Linked DNA regions of Mus musculus: regions 1, 3 and 4 are each reported to be linked to region 2. Evidence: microRNA targets listed by miRTarBase, many of them from high-throughput screens and not tested one by one. Region 2 holds a microRNA gene; each other region holds the end of a gene's coding sequence.
The links. Region 2 holds the annotated microRNA mmu-miR-339-5p (UCCCUGUCCUCCAGGAGCUCACG, at 1,889-1,911, shown strand). A microRNA usually pairs through its seed, bases 2 to 8, with sites in the 3' UTR of a target mRNA and lowers its output. Matches are read on the target gene's strand: a 7mer-m8 pairs with bases 2 to 8, a 7mer-A1 pairs with bases 2 to 7 and ends in A, and an 8mer does both.

Region 1: the mRNA of Man2a2 is a reported target of mmu-miR-339-5p. Seed matches in the 3' UTR shown: 7mer-m8 at 2,528-2,534, 7mer-m8 at 2,352-2,358, 7mer-m8 at 1,855-1,861 and 7mer-m8 at 614-620.
Region 3: the mRNA of Bloc1s3 is a reported target of mmu-miR-339-5p. Seed matches in the 3' UTR shown: 7mer-m8 at 1,951-1,957.
Region 4: miRTarBase lists Lats1 as a target of mmu-miR-339-5p. Seed matches in the 3' UTR shown: 7mer-m8 at 1,044-1,050.

What each region holds. Positions count from the first base shown.
Region 1 is chr7:80,349,142-80,352,251 of GRCm38, forward strand. Man2a2 (mannosidase 2, alpha 2) reads right to left here. Exons shown (of 24, transcript NM_172903.4): 24 at 1-2,710. The coding sequence ends at 2,558. Among named protein-coding and RNA genes, the nearest start is that of Hddc3, 7.6 kb to the left of the region's middle.
Region 2 is chr5:139,368,509-139,371,618 of GRCm38, reverse strand. It overlaps Mir339 (microRNA 339), which reads left to right and starts at 1,874; the gene lies at 1,874-1,969. All of the region lies in intron 2 of 3110082I17Rik (RIKEN cDNA 3110082I17 gene), which reads left to right.
Region 3 is chr7:19,504,195-19,507,304 of GRCm38, forward strand. Bloc1s3 (biogenesis of lysosomal organelles complex-1, subunit 3) reads right to left here. Exons shown (of 2, transcript NM_177692.4): 2 at 1,610-3,110. The coding sequence ends at 2,820. Among named protein-coding and RNA genes, the nearest start is that of Bloc1s3, 2.6 kb to the right of the region's middle.
Region 4 is chr10:7,712,765-7,715,874 of GRCm38, forward strand. Lats1 (large tumor suppressor) reads left to right here. Exons shown (of 8, transcript NM_010690.1): 8 at 1-3,110. The coding sequence ends at 246. Among named protein-coding and RNA genes, the nearest start is that of Katna1, 12 kb to the right of the region's middle.

The DNA.
Region 1 (3,110 bases), not on the chromosome of region 2:
TGATTACAAACCATATGGTAGCAAATAAGTCTTGCTGTAGGCGCAACCCCTGCTCTGTGCTAAGCGCTCCCCACTCTTCATCTCATTCCTGTCACCAAGACATGAATAGGAAGCCGTGTGGCCTGAGCCTGGCAACATAAACCATGGAGACCCTGCAAGAACTCAGCCTTGTCACTACTGAGTCTTTGGGTGCTGCTGGACAGACCCTAGTGACGTTCTCTGAGAAGTCAAAACACACTTTTCTCCAGCAGTGACAGAACTCACTGCAGACTCGTTTCCACCCACACAGCTGTATTGATTTAACCTGTTTCCTATAGCATGCTTTCAAGCTTTGTGTGTGTGTGTGTGTGTGTGTGTGTGTGTGTGTGTGTGTGTGTGTGTGTGTGTGTGTCAAAACCTATTTTTTAATGTTCCCCCATTATATATTAGGTTTCATGTTATGTCTAGAAAAGGGTTTCCTAAATCAGGTATAAAAATATTTTTTTCTGCTGGGCAGTGGTGGTGCACGCCTTTAATCCCAGCACTAGGAAGGCAGAGGCAGGTGGATTTCTGAGTTCAAGGCCAGCCTGGTCTACAGAGTGAGTTCCAGGACAGCCAGAGCTACACAGAGAAACCCTGTCTCAAAAAAACAAAAAAATTTTTTTCCTCCCAGGTGTGATGATGGCGCATGCCTTTAGTCCCAGAACTCAGGAGGCAGAGGCAGGTGGGGAATCTCTGTGATTTCCAGGCCAGCTTGGTTTACATAATGAGTTCCAGCACAGCCAGAGGTACATAGTGAGACTAAAATAATAATTAATAATAATAATAATAATAACAATTTTGTTGTTTGCTTTTGCTTTTTTCCCTCTAGCCCTAGGTTGTTTTGTTTTGTTTTTGAAACAGAAGTCTCATAGGTAGGTAGCTGTCTCAAAGCACTATGAAAATATCCACCTCCCCTCCCCTGCACCTGAAATCATATACTGAATTTCTACGTGCCTAGGTCTGTCTGACCTGACCTATCATGGCAGCTGAATTCACGCTGGCAGAAGAGTCCAAGTCGTTTGAGAACTCTGTTAAGACAGCTACTGCCTGTTGCCCGCCTTAGTGTCAGCAGCCGTTCATCACCTCGGCCATTCAGAACTACTTCACATCCTCAGCCTGTCACCTTCCAGATGAATGCCAGGACCTGAAGAGTTCCAGAAAGTGTCCAACCTCGTGGGAATTACACTGATGTTTATGGGTTGATTTGGGGAGAACCAGTCGTTACAGGGCAACTCACAGAATGCCTTGCTAGTTGACACACAGGTTTCTTAGGTAGCTTATGGTTTTAAAACAGTGGCAATTGTAATTCTTGTTTCCATCTGAAGTGTGGGTTAGTGACACCAACACACTGTGCCGCCGGGCAGTTTCTGACTGAGGGGATCAGAGCCTGCTCTGTCCGATGCTTTGGGCGCCTTCGCTTACTGGTGACGAGATCTTTATCCAGATTACGGGCTTCTTTCTAGTCTTGGCTTACTAAGTTTTCGTAAGGATGGAACTTTGCTTTTACCAACTCTTATCATTTATAGACAGATTCTCTATTGATTGAAGCAAAAACGAAGGTTCATCCAAGCACATGACCTCCTAATTTTGTCTCTGCCTTCCTCGTCCACACAGCGGGCAGGTAATACTTCTGCAGGTGGGATACGAGTGAACCTCCTCAGCCCACCAGGGGCCCCAGCACAGGATGCCTTCCCAAGACACCCAAGCACAGCCCTCTTGGAAACTCTGTTTCCATTTTAGAGAAAGGAATCCTGCCAGGATCCCCACAATGGGAACTCGTGGGGAGCCTGGTGTGTGAGATAAGAAAGCAGATCAGGGGGAGACACTCCCTACCCCTGTCACAGATCAACACCAAATGATCAGCTGAGAACTAGTGCTAGTGCCTGAAGTGTTCCGTGGCCTCTGGCCTGGAGTCTGAAGCAAGCCCTTCCTGCACCCAGCAGCCCCTAGCCAGGGCATGCAGGCCCAGTGGCACTCAGAGCAGGCCCAGTGGCACTCAGAACAGAGCCAGAGCAGAAAGCAGCAAAGCCTTTAGGCTCTTAGGAGAACCAGGGACTCCTTCCACGCCTTTACTCCACTAATAATGGGCGCCTACCCCTCTCCTCCCAGAATCACCCTGCTCCTGTACCCTCATACCAGCACTGTGGGGTCCATATGACCCCGCAGAGCAAGCTCATACCTGCAGTCTCCTAGCGTGAGGTTGTCCCCCAGCCTCCCTGACCTCTTCTGCTTGTCCCCACTCTTCCTACATCCCATTTTGGGAAAAGGATGAAGCCTGAGTTGTGCCCAGCTGGGTACCTACTCACAGCCTAGGGCAAGGGCCTCCTCTCCCCTGTCTCTCTGCCCCCGCCGCCTGCTGATGTAAGGACTGTTCCAAACGCAGGAGCAGCAATAGACAACGGAAGGGCACAGCACAGTCTGTCACTTCTGAGGCAGAGCGGAGGGGAGACTTGGTGTGGCTTGTCCAGCTTAGTCTTGGTGTTAGGAGGCAGTCTCTGTGGATGAACCCTGTCTTCAGGCCACAAGAAGCCCTGGCCTAGCCCAAGCGCAGGCGGAAGGTGCTGATCTCCATGGGCTCCAGAGAGATGTCAGTGCTGTTGGAAGGTGAGGCCAGAGGGTATAGCAAAGTCAAGGAGGTTGGCTGCAGGAAGGTCACATCCAGGCCATGGAAGAGGCTCCCCAGGGCTAGCTGTGAAGAGAAAGGGGGCAGGGTGAGCCGGGCGCTGCTAACAGTGGGTAAGTTCTTCCTTACACGGAGTGCTGCCCTTTTGGGTTTTTTCCTTTTTTTTTCTTTTCTTTTCTTTTTCTTTTTTTTTTTTTTTTTTTTTTTTTTTTTGAGACAGGGTTTCTCTGTATAGCCCTGGCTGTCCTGGAACTCACTTTGTAGACCAGGCTGGCCTCGAACTCAGAAATGCACCTGCCTCTGCCTCCCAAGTGCTGGGATTAAAGGTGTGCGCCACCTTGCCCAGCCCTTTTGGGATTTTTTGAGACAGGGTCTCACACTGTAATCCAGGCTAGCCTCAGACTCAGAGCAGTCCTGCCACAGTGCTGGGACTGTGTTGTGAGCCAACACACCTGGATTTCTGTCA
Region 2 (3,110 bases):
CAGGCTGTGCTCACAGGCTGACACTCGCAGGAGAAATAGGATCGCAGGCTGCTCAGCTAATGTGGAAGCCTGGTGGCTGATAGTCTTTGACAGTACATAATTGTTTGTTTGGTTTTTTTTTTTTCCCTGGGAGACCCCATTTTCTGCCCAGTTGTAGCTGCTTGCACCCGCACCTTGGATGACTCCCACACTTTGCTTAGTGGGCTTTTCAAGCTTTAGAAATCCGCTCTGCATTATAATAGCAAGATCAGCACAAAAAGTAGGAACTATAGAGGATCCTGCGAGTGTTGTTTGTGCCCCAGTGTTTGTTCTGGTCATCTCTGCCCTCGTTGGCTCAGAGCTGTCTTCACATTTCTGCTGTTTTAAAAAAAGGGGGGTGGGGAGTTTTGGATTGCTAGGGAGTCACTTACCCAGGTGAGCAGAGACATCTGACCTTGCTTGCAGGGTGGTTGCTGGGCCCGTTGTAGCAGGAGAAATGGCCTTTCCTTGGCCACAGCAAGAAAGCTTCCATGACCTTAATGTCACTTGGGGGTCCACTAGGCAGTTTGGGATGTGTGAACACAGCTGCTCTACCAGAGGAAGCCAAAATCAAAAGCATTTTGATTACCGGCACACTCAAATAGAATTGGGAGTGGGGCACGTGGAAACCAGGCTAGAACAAGCATCCCTGGGTGGTGGGCATGCCGGGAAGCTCTAGAGAAGGGGATGTGGGTACCTGGCCCTGGCTAGAAAGAAGGCCTCCAGCTAGGGCGAAGGAGGCAGACTGCAGCTGAAATGAGACTGAGTCTCGCTCGGCTCAGGGACGCAGCGCAGGCTCTGCACAGTACACAGGTTCTTGTGTCAGCAGGCTTTTCCTGGCCTGGGAATGCTCAGTTATAGATGCAAGCCCCTCCCTCTCCTTCACTTCAGGGTCTCCTACTGCAGGGGTCTGATTAGAGACCTCCCCATCTCCCCCGCTGCAGGGCCCTCTTCCCTGCCTGTTGGCTGCTTTCTGCCATTTCTGAGTAGACCTAGGTGGGAGCTTGTTGTGTGTGTCGCCCTCACGCCCGTGATTCAGGTGGCAGGGGCTGACTCTGTCCTTGCTCTTGGACCAGGAGCTTCACTGATGGCCGAGTTGGGCTTCCCACTTAAACTTGTGCCAGAGCTGCTGGGACCAGTTCCTGTGATCTGCAGGCAAAGGGACGGAAGTTTTATCTTCTGGAGCCAGCCCCTCAGCCTAGTCAAGGAAATCTGCACCCTGTTCAAGCTCCTGGGGTCTGTCTGCTCCTGTGTTGGAACTGGGGACATGTGAGATAGCAGTGGGAGAGGTTAGACCTAGAAAACCCATGGGACCTTCATAACCTTGTTGGTGGGGCCAGTCAGCCTGAGTCAGGTGAGCTGAGGCCAGAGAGCCAAGAAAACCGATGTATAGTCGGGGACTCACAGCCTAGAGGCCTTGTGGTCTGTGCTGGAGTCTGTGAGAAAGTTAATTCTCTGGGCAGCCTGAGGTCAAGACTTAGGCTTTAGCCTGTGTTTAACCCCCAAGTAAGTGACACAGGGTGTTTCTGCCGTGACTGCAGAAGGACCTGTGGCCTGGACAGAGCCTGGGCTTGGTGGCGGTGACAACATCACCTCTGGGGATTCGTGTGTCCTGTGGCAGCTGGTGATGGCCCAGTCTCCTGTTTCTCAGGGATACATCAGATCTGCTGCTCACTTCCGCCATTCAGGTCACTGAGGAGGCAGGGTGCCGCATCTGTCATCTTTGTCTTTTTCAAGCATGGGGCTTAAGTGACATTTTGTGCATTTGAAAAGTCATATCTAGAAGGGGATCCCTAGGTGGGTGTGACCCTTGCCTTGGCACCAAGGTGGTGAGAGCACAGCTGTGCAGAGCTGGACGGGGTGGCCACTATCCCTGTCCTCCAGGAGCTCACGTATGCCTGCCTGTGAGCGCCTCGGCGACAGAGCCGGTGTCCACCCCTGCACTGTCCACAGACCCTTGCCTGCAGACCAGGGTGCTCAGTCGCTGGCTGTTCATGCTGTACCTTCTTGAACTCGATTGTGCAGATCTGCAGGTTGTTCCGTGGATGGAGGGGACTCTGGTTTCTCTGTGCGGTGACGCAAGGCACTGACCCCTCTGGGGTCCTAATCATCTTAACCTACGCAGACACTGAGGGGGAGGGGAGAGGAGCCAGGAGGGAGCCTTCCAGGTCTCTCCCTCTGTGTGTGTCCTCTGTAGCACCAGTTGATTCTACTGCGTGTGACCTATGTCCTGGCAGTTGGTGTCCCTGGGTCACTTCTACATCCACTGTGTTTCAGTAATTACCTCCAAATAAAAAGCTTCCTTTAAAACAAACTCTCTCCCCTCTCTTCATTATGTTGTTGTGCTTTTGCTTTGTCTTCTGGAAATCTTGCTACCGAGTGAGTGCATAGCCGGGCAGCAGTCTGCTGAGGTCTGTGAACCGGAATGGGCTCTCAAGGTCGAACACCTCTGTGGGACCCTGGACTCGGGCTGGCTCCAACTGAATGGAGGAGGGCTGATTCTGGGCTGGGGAATGAGAACAGAGTCCACTGGCCTTGGCACCCAGCTCGTCAGCCTCAGCAGGCTTCGTGGTCTCCCCCCACAAACATCGCTGTCACTTGTAGGCCATTCCCAATGTCTGGGGAACAGGTATAGGGGTGGTAGGGACCAGAGACCATGCCCCAGCCTTGGAGGCACCACCTGGGTATGTGATAGACAGGCCAGGTGCTGGGCTCCATCGACCATCTGCTGTGCCCTTGGGACTCTGTCCTGTGTGAAGCGGGTCAAATGACTGGATTCCCTGCCACTCAGCTGCGCCCCCAGTACAGCTGCTCTGGTCACATGATGGGGTGGGGACAACAGAGGGTCCTTCTACCCTCACCTGTGTTCATCCTTACACCTGACTCAGTCATTCCAAGAAAGAAGGTCCTACAGAGCTGTGTGTCTGGCACTGGCTACCAGGGCCTCTACTGCCAAGGTCTACAACTAACCTTTGAGGGGTTTTTGTTTATGTTTGAGACAGACTTGCTAAGCTCAAGCTAGCCTTGGACTTTCAATCCTCAGGACATATTCACCAACCTCCTCCACAATTCCAAGAACGTTTGAACAAGAT
Region 3 (3,110 bases), not on the chromosome of region 2:
CTGAATTGGACACTTGCCTTTTCTGCTAGGCTGGTTGGCCAGCAAGCTCTCAGGATCTTCCTGTCTCTGTCACCCCCAATTTGGGTTCCAGGCATGCGCAGCTGTGCCTGCCTTTGTTCTTGGGGATTGGACCCCAGCTTCACCTGTGTCCAAAGCAAGAGCTCTTAGCCACTGAACCATTTTCTCAGGACCCTCACCTTTGTTCTTGACCAACCGAGTACCCTGGGTTTTGTCTATCTCCCAGAGGGATGGGTCACGCCCATAATCAATCCAGCACTAGGAATGCAGGAGGACTGTTGAGGCATTTATTGTCATGACGGAAAGTGGATGCAGGGAGGAATGTCTGGGAAGGAAAGCTTACTGGCTACATCCTCCAGGCCTTTAGGAACCTTGTTAAAAATGGAGATCTGTCTTGTGCCTACTTGACCACAGGTCACAGCCTTTACGAGTGGAGGGGCTTGGGCGTTCCCCTTACATGACTGATGGTCACAAATCTATGGGGGTGGGGCTGCTGCTAGTGACAGGCCTGGTGCCCTGGAGCAGGTAAACCTCCTTAGGTCCCTTCAGGCTCTCCTCGGCTTCTAGCCTTAGCTCAGCCGGGGACCATGGTACCTTTCAAGGTCCCATGCTTTATGGAGCAAGAGTGTGGGGTTAAGAGCAGGAGCAGCCCTACTGGAAGGTATGCATGCAGTAGGGATGGCTTGTGTGTGGCTGTGTACATGGAGCCCCCTCTCTGTCCTTTCTTGGTCTGTGTACATCTACCCAGTCCCTGACACAGGTGGAGTTAGGGCAGAGTTGTAAACAAGTGCTTGTGAAGAGTGGCTGGACCCTCAGGTGAGGTGGCACAGCCTCCTTATACCCCCTTCTTCTAGGGAACTCAAAGGTCAACAAGTCCTTTCTGTGGTGGCCTTGTGCCAGCGGCACAGCAGAGCTTCGGGAGAGGACAGCCTTGCACATCACCTGTCACATACAGGCCCTTACATGCACATACACAGCTCCTGACATCTGCAGACAGATCTGCACATCCAGGCACACCTGAGCCCACAATACAGTCACACCTGCATGCATGCAGACACACCTGTTTATACACAGGAAGCTCTACACACATGCAAGCACACGTGCTTACACACACACATGGACACACCTGAACATATAGGCACACCTGTATACAGCACACATACTGGGTAAACATACCTGCAAGCACACACATATGTGCACACAATTTTTTTCCTTTTTTAAAACTGAGACAGGATTTCTCTGGGTAGCCCTGGCTGTTCTGGAACTTGCTCTACAGACCAAGCTGGCCTCAAGCTCAGATCTGCCTGCCTCTGCCCAGCCAGTGCTGGGACTGAGGTGTGTGCCACCACTGCCTGACATGCACCAGTTACATGTTTTGTTTTTGAGGAGGGGAGGGGTTTGGTTGGATTTTTTTGAGGTTTTGTTTTGTTTTTTGAGCTGAGGACCAAACCCAGGGCCTTGCACTTGCTAGGCAAGAGCTGTAACCCTGAGCTAAATCCCCAATCTCCACGCCTAATTACCAATAAAAACCCTGACTCTAGTTGATGTAAAAACAAAATAGCATATCAGCTGATAGTTAGAATCAAGAGGGTAAATTTTTTAATAATTTATTTATTATATATAAGTACATTGTAGCTGTCTTCAGACACACCAGAAGAGGGCATCAGATCTCAATACAGATGGTTGTGAGCCACCATGTGGTTTCTGGGGTTTGAACTCAGGACCTCTACTTTCCAGCCCCACCCCACCCCCCACCCTGGGTAAATTTTTAAAGGGGACACAGGCATCTAAGAATGTTCTAGTTTGACCGGGCAGTGGTGGCACACGCCTTTAATCCCAGCACTTGGGAGGCAGAAGCAGGTGAATTTCTGAGTTTGAGGCCAGCCTGGTCTACAAAGTGAGTTCCAGGACAGCCAGGACTACACAGAGAAACCCTGTCTCAAAAAACAAAACAAAAACAAAACAAACAAACAAAGAATGTGCTTGTTTGTTTCTTTTGAAGCAGGGTGGTCCTAGGAATTGAACCCAGGGCCGCCCACACTAAGCGTACACGACACCACTGAGCTACAGTCTCACCCCACCACCCGAGCTCCCTTCCACATAAGGTCACTGAATCCTCATTAAGACAGAGACAAAAGGAGTGGCCAAAAAGACACCCAAAGAGCCAAACCCAAAGAGGCAAAAAGAACCTGTTATCCTCGAGGCCCATAGAGGTCAGAATCCAAGTCCTTTTAGCATCCAGAAAGAGACACAGTGAGTGGTAGATTTGTATTTGTGGTGTCATGTCTCTATAGCGATCAAAACACCAGGAGGCGCTGCCCCTGACACAAAGGCCTAAGAATTAGGGTTACTACCCAGGCCCTAGGTTGGTCTGCATTTGGCCACAGCGGTCGGTAAGAGGGATATGTGTAAGAGGAAGGTATCCTCGGGTCAGGAGTGATCATCATTTAGGGATGTAAACTAGAGAGACACCACTACCCCCCAAAGCCTAAATTCAGAAAGGCTCAACAAAAGAAAGCAAACCTCTGGCTTTGCCCAAGAGTAAAGCTGAATTTAGGAAACAGGACCAGAATGGATAGGGGCTAAGCTACTTGATAGCCACAGAACCTGGGTTGGGGAGCCCGGAATTGTGCTAAGAATATCAAAGAAGATGCGAGGATTCGGCTTCTGTCGGCATTGATCAAATGCTACCACGCATTGGAGGCCTCGGTGATCCAGGAACAAAAACAGAGTCAGATGCCACAGGTGGTACGAATGTTCACCAAGAGGCAGAGTCAGGTGGGGGGACACAGAGTGACAGCCTAGGCTCTAGGTCCCGGGTCCTGCTCGGGCTCCATACCAGGGACCCCTCGTATGTCCGGCAGCAAGCGACAGCCAGCCACGATATCCAGGCGCTCGGCGAGCGCGCAGAGGTCCCCGCGCGCCAGGCGCACGCTGTGGGCGGCTGCCAGCCCGGTGGCCTGAGCAGCCGCCAGCCTCCCCGCCAGGGCGGCCACATCGCGACCCGCACGGCGGTACACGCCGCTCACCGCAGCCGCTACGTCGTGGTCCAGGCGCGTCTGGCTCTCAGCCAACCGGAGCTGCAGCAGCGA
Region 4 (3,110 bases), not on the chromosome of region 2:
GATGGCAGCGAGGAGGAAAATATCAGTGACACTCTGAACGGATGGTATAAAAATGGGAAGCACCCCGAGCACGCTTTCTATGAGTTCACCTTTCGGAGGTTTTTTGATGACAATGGCTACCCATATAATTATCCAAAGCCTATTGAGTATGAATACATTCATTCACAGGGCTCAGAACAACAGTCTGATGAAGATGATCAACACACAAGCTCCGATGGAAACAACCGAGATCTAGTGTATGTTTAATAAACTAGGAGATCATTGTAAGAATTTGCAAGAGGCCTGAAGTGCAGGGGTTTTTGAAGTTTTGAGAAAATTATGCAAATGTGACAGAGTTTGTGTGCTCTGTGTACAATATTTTATTTTCCTAAGTTATGGGAAATTGTTTTAAAATGTTAATTTATTCCACCCTTTTAATTCAGTAATTTAGAAAAAATTGTTATAAGGAAAGTAAATTATGAACTGAGTATTATAGTCAATTCTTGGTACTTAAAGTACTTAAAAAATAGTGCTCTGTTTAAAAAGAGAAGCCTGGTATCTTTTGTATATATGATAAATAATTTTAAAATTCAAGAATTTTTGAAGATTTTTGAAAGACAGTTTTATCTTGCTTTAACCAAATATGAAATATAACCATATTTCCCTTGTAACTTTGGGTTTAGTTCCCAATACGCTAAAGAAATCAAGCCGTTGTTTTAGAAGGTAAGGTGTTCCTAGAGTAATTTTAATCTTGAAGTCATATCCTGTAATCACAAATACAGAGCAAAAACAATATGTTCACTAGAAATAATGCAGCTTACCCCTTCCCTCCCCAGAAGTCTTCAACCTAACCTAGCATTTTTCTTTCAGATACCGGCTTTAAAGAAGCCAGAGCACTGCTAGTTTTGTTTCCAGATTGGTATTAATGCTGCTTCCAGTTTTTGTTTTATTGGGATTTTTGTTTTGGTTTGGTTTTGGGTTTTTTTTCGAGGGGTGGGGGTATTGTTTTGTTTTGATTTTTTTTTTTTTGTTTTGGTTTGGTTTTTTGGGGGGCAGGGGATTGAGACAGGGTTTCTCTGTGTAGCCCTGGCTGTCCTGGAACTCGCTCTGTGACCAGGCTGGCCTCAGACTCAGAGGTTCACCAGACTCTGCCTCCCCCGAGAGCTGGAATTAAAAGTGTGTGCCACCACACCCAGCTGTTTCCAGTTTTAAAAGGGAACAAAGTTGCCATGAATTGAATTTTCAAACTGAAACTAAGATCTGTAATATTTGTATCTTAAAATTAGAAGAAAAATTTCCATCTCCTAAGTAAAGAAATTATTTTCAGTTTGTAATTTTTTTTTTTAATTTACGTGTATGTACTCACTAAGAAAGTACATTTTCTAGGGGCTAAGGATATGGCTCAGTGGTAGAGCACTTGCCTAACATACACAAAGCCTTGGGTTCAGTCCCTAGCCCCTGCCACATAAAGGTACCTTTGTTGTACAGTGACCAATCTTGATTGTGTCATTGATGCTATAGATTTCCTTTTTCAGAACAGTGCTACAATACAAATTGTTGGCAAAGGAAATGTAACTATTTGGCACTATTATACCTAAGAGTAGATTAATTGGTTAAAAATAATTATTAATTAACTCTTAATTGGGATGAGCATCCCTAATTAGATACATAGTAGTTTAGAAAGTGAAAACTTCCTAAGTTATTTAAGATTAATGTCCTATTTATATAATGTTTAGGTTCTAAGGAAGAATTGTGGATCCCTAACAAACATCTTAGGAACATCTTTTAGGAAGAAGAATGGGGCTGTACTCTGACCTTAGTAAAGTTTGTATGTATATTATTTCATTTTTTCAAGGTTTATTGACATGAATTGCTTTATCAGACTTAATGTTTGTGGCTAGGAATGATGTTTACCTATCTAGCTTTCTTATAAAAGATAATTTGTTTAAAACCATATGTATAGTAAAATTAAAAGCAAAGCTATTTGTTTGAATTGGGGAGAGAGAAAAACATTATTAGCTTACACTTTCATGTTGAGCTTGGAACCTGTCACGTGTACAAGTGAGCCTTCAGACCATAGATCATTTTGAGATAAAGACTATGTGAACTCAGGCCCTACTGAAAAAAAGTGTGTATCCACACATACATTAGAAAGTGTTGCATGCACTCTCAAGAGACCCTGGGTGTGATAAAACTTCCCAGACAGCAGGTTAAAGACCTACATCCTGTGAGTCAATTGCTATATCAAAGTAAGACCTTTGATATCCTTTGACTTTATTGCACAGCGCTCAGATGAGCACGTTTGTAAACAAGTAATGATCTGCTCTTGGAATGAGCCCGTGAAAGCAACACAGCACAGACATGTCTATAACATGAAAGCAGCACAACACAGACATGTCTATAACACTGTTCTAACGGCACTGGTGTCTTGTGATTCTGAGGGCTCCTGATGAGAGCTGTCACCAGACAGTCTTCACAGCATGGAGCGTCTGAAGTCTGAAGGCCCTATGCAAAGCATGCATTGAGGGAGGTTTGGCCTGGGTCCCTCCCACAGGTCAGAAAGACAGCCCTCTGACCTTCGGGCTCTTCACTCAGACTGACATTTTCATTTAGTGGTTTTACACCTGGATCATGTTCACAACGCAGGACTGCTAAGGTGCTGCCCCTCCCCACGACCATGGTGCCTCAGAATGTAAACACTAATTCTACGTCCTTCTTTGCTTCCCTCGGACAGTATAAGCTTCTAGCGTTTGTCTGAGGCAGTATACAAGGATTCGGTATCTGCAATTTTAGTATTTTGTTCACAATTTTAACATTTTGGATGCTCATGTTGGTTATTTTACCCCTGACTACACCCAGTTCTCCCAGCATAGGAGTTGCTGCTTTCTGAGCAAACAATGAGCACAGCATAGAAAACATAGACACTTAATTAAAACGGCAAAGACGCTGCTCTCCAGCTCTCCCCTAGAACCCGCCGTCTCCTGTGCGTGCCCCTTCAGTGTGTATCAGTGGTATTTATAAAATGTGCTCTATAATTATGTGCTTGTACATACTGGTATATGTTGTGCAGTGATGTCCTGAGGCAGGCCCTGTTGCTGTATCTGTCCTACCTTCCTATTTGTAATAGAAAC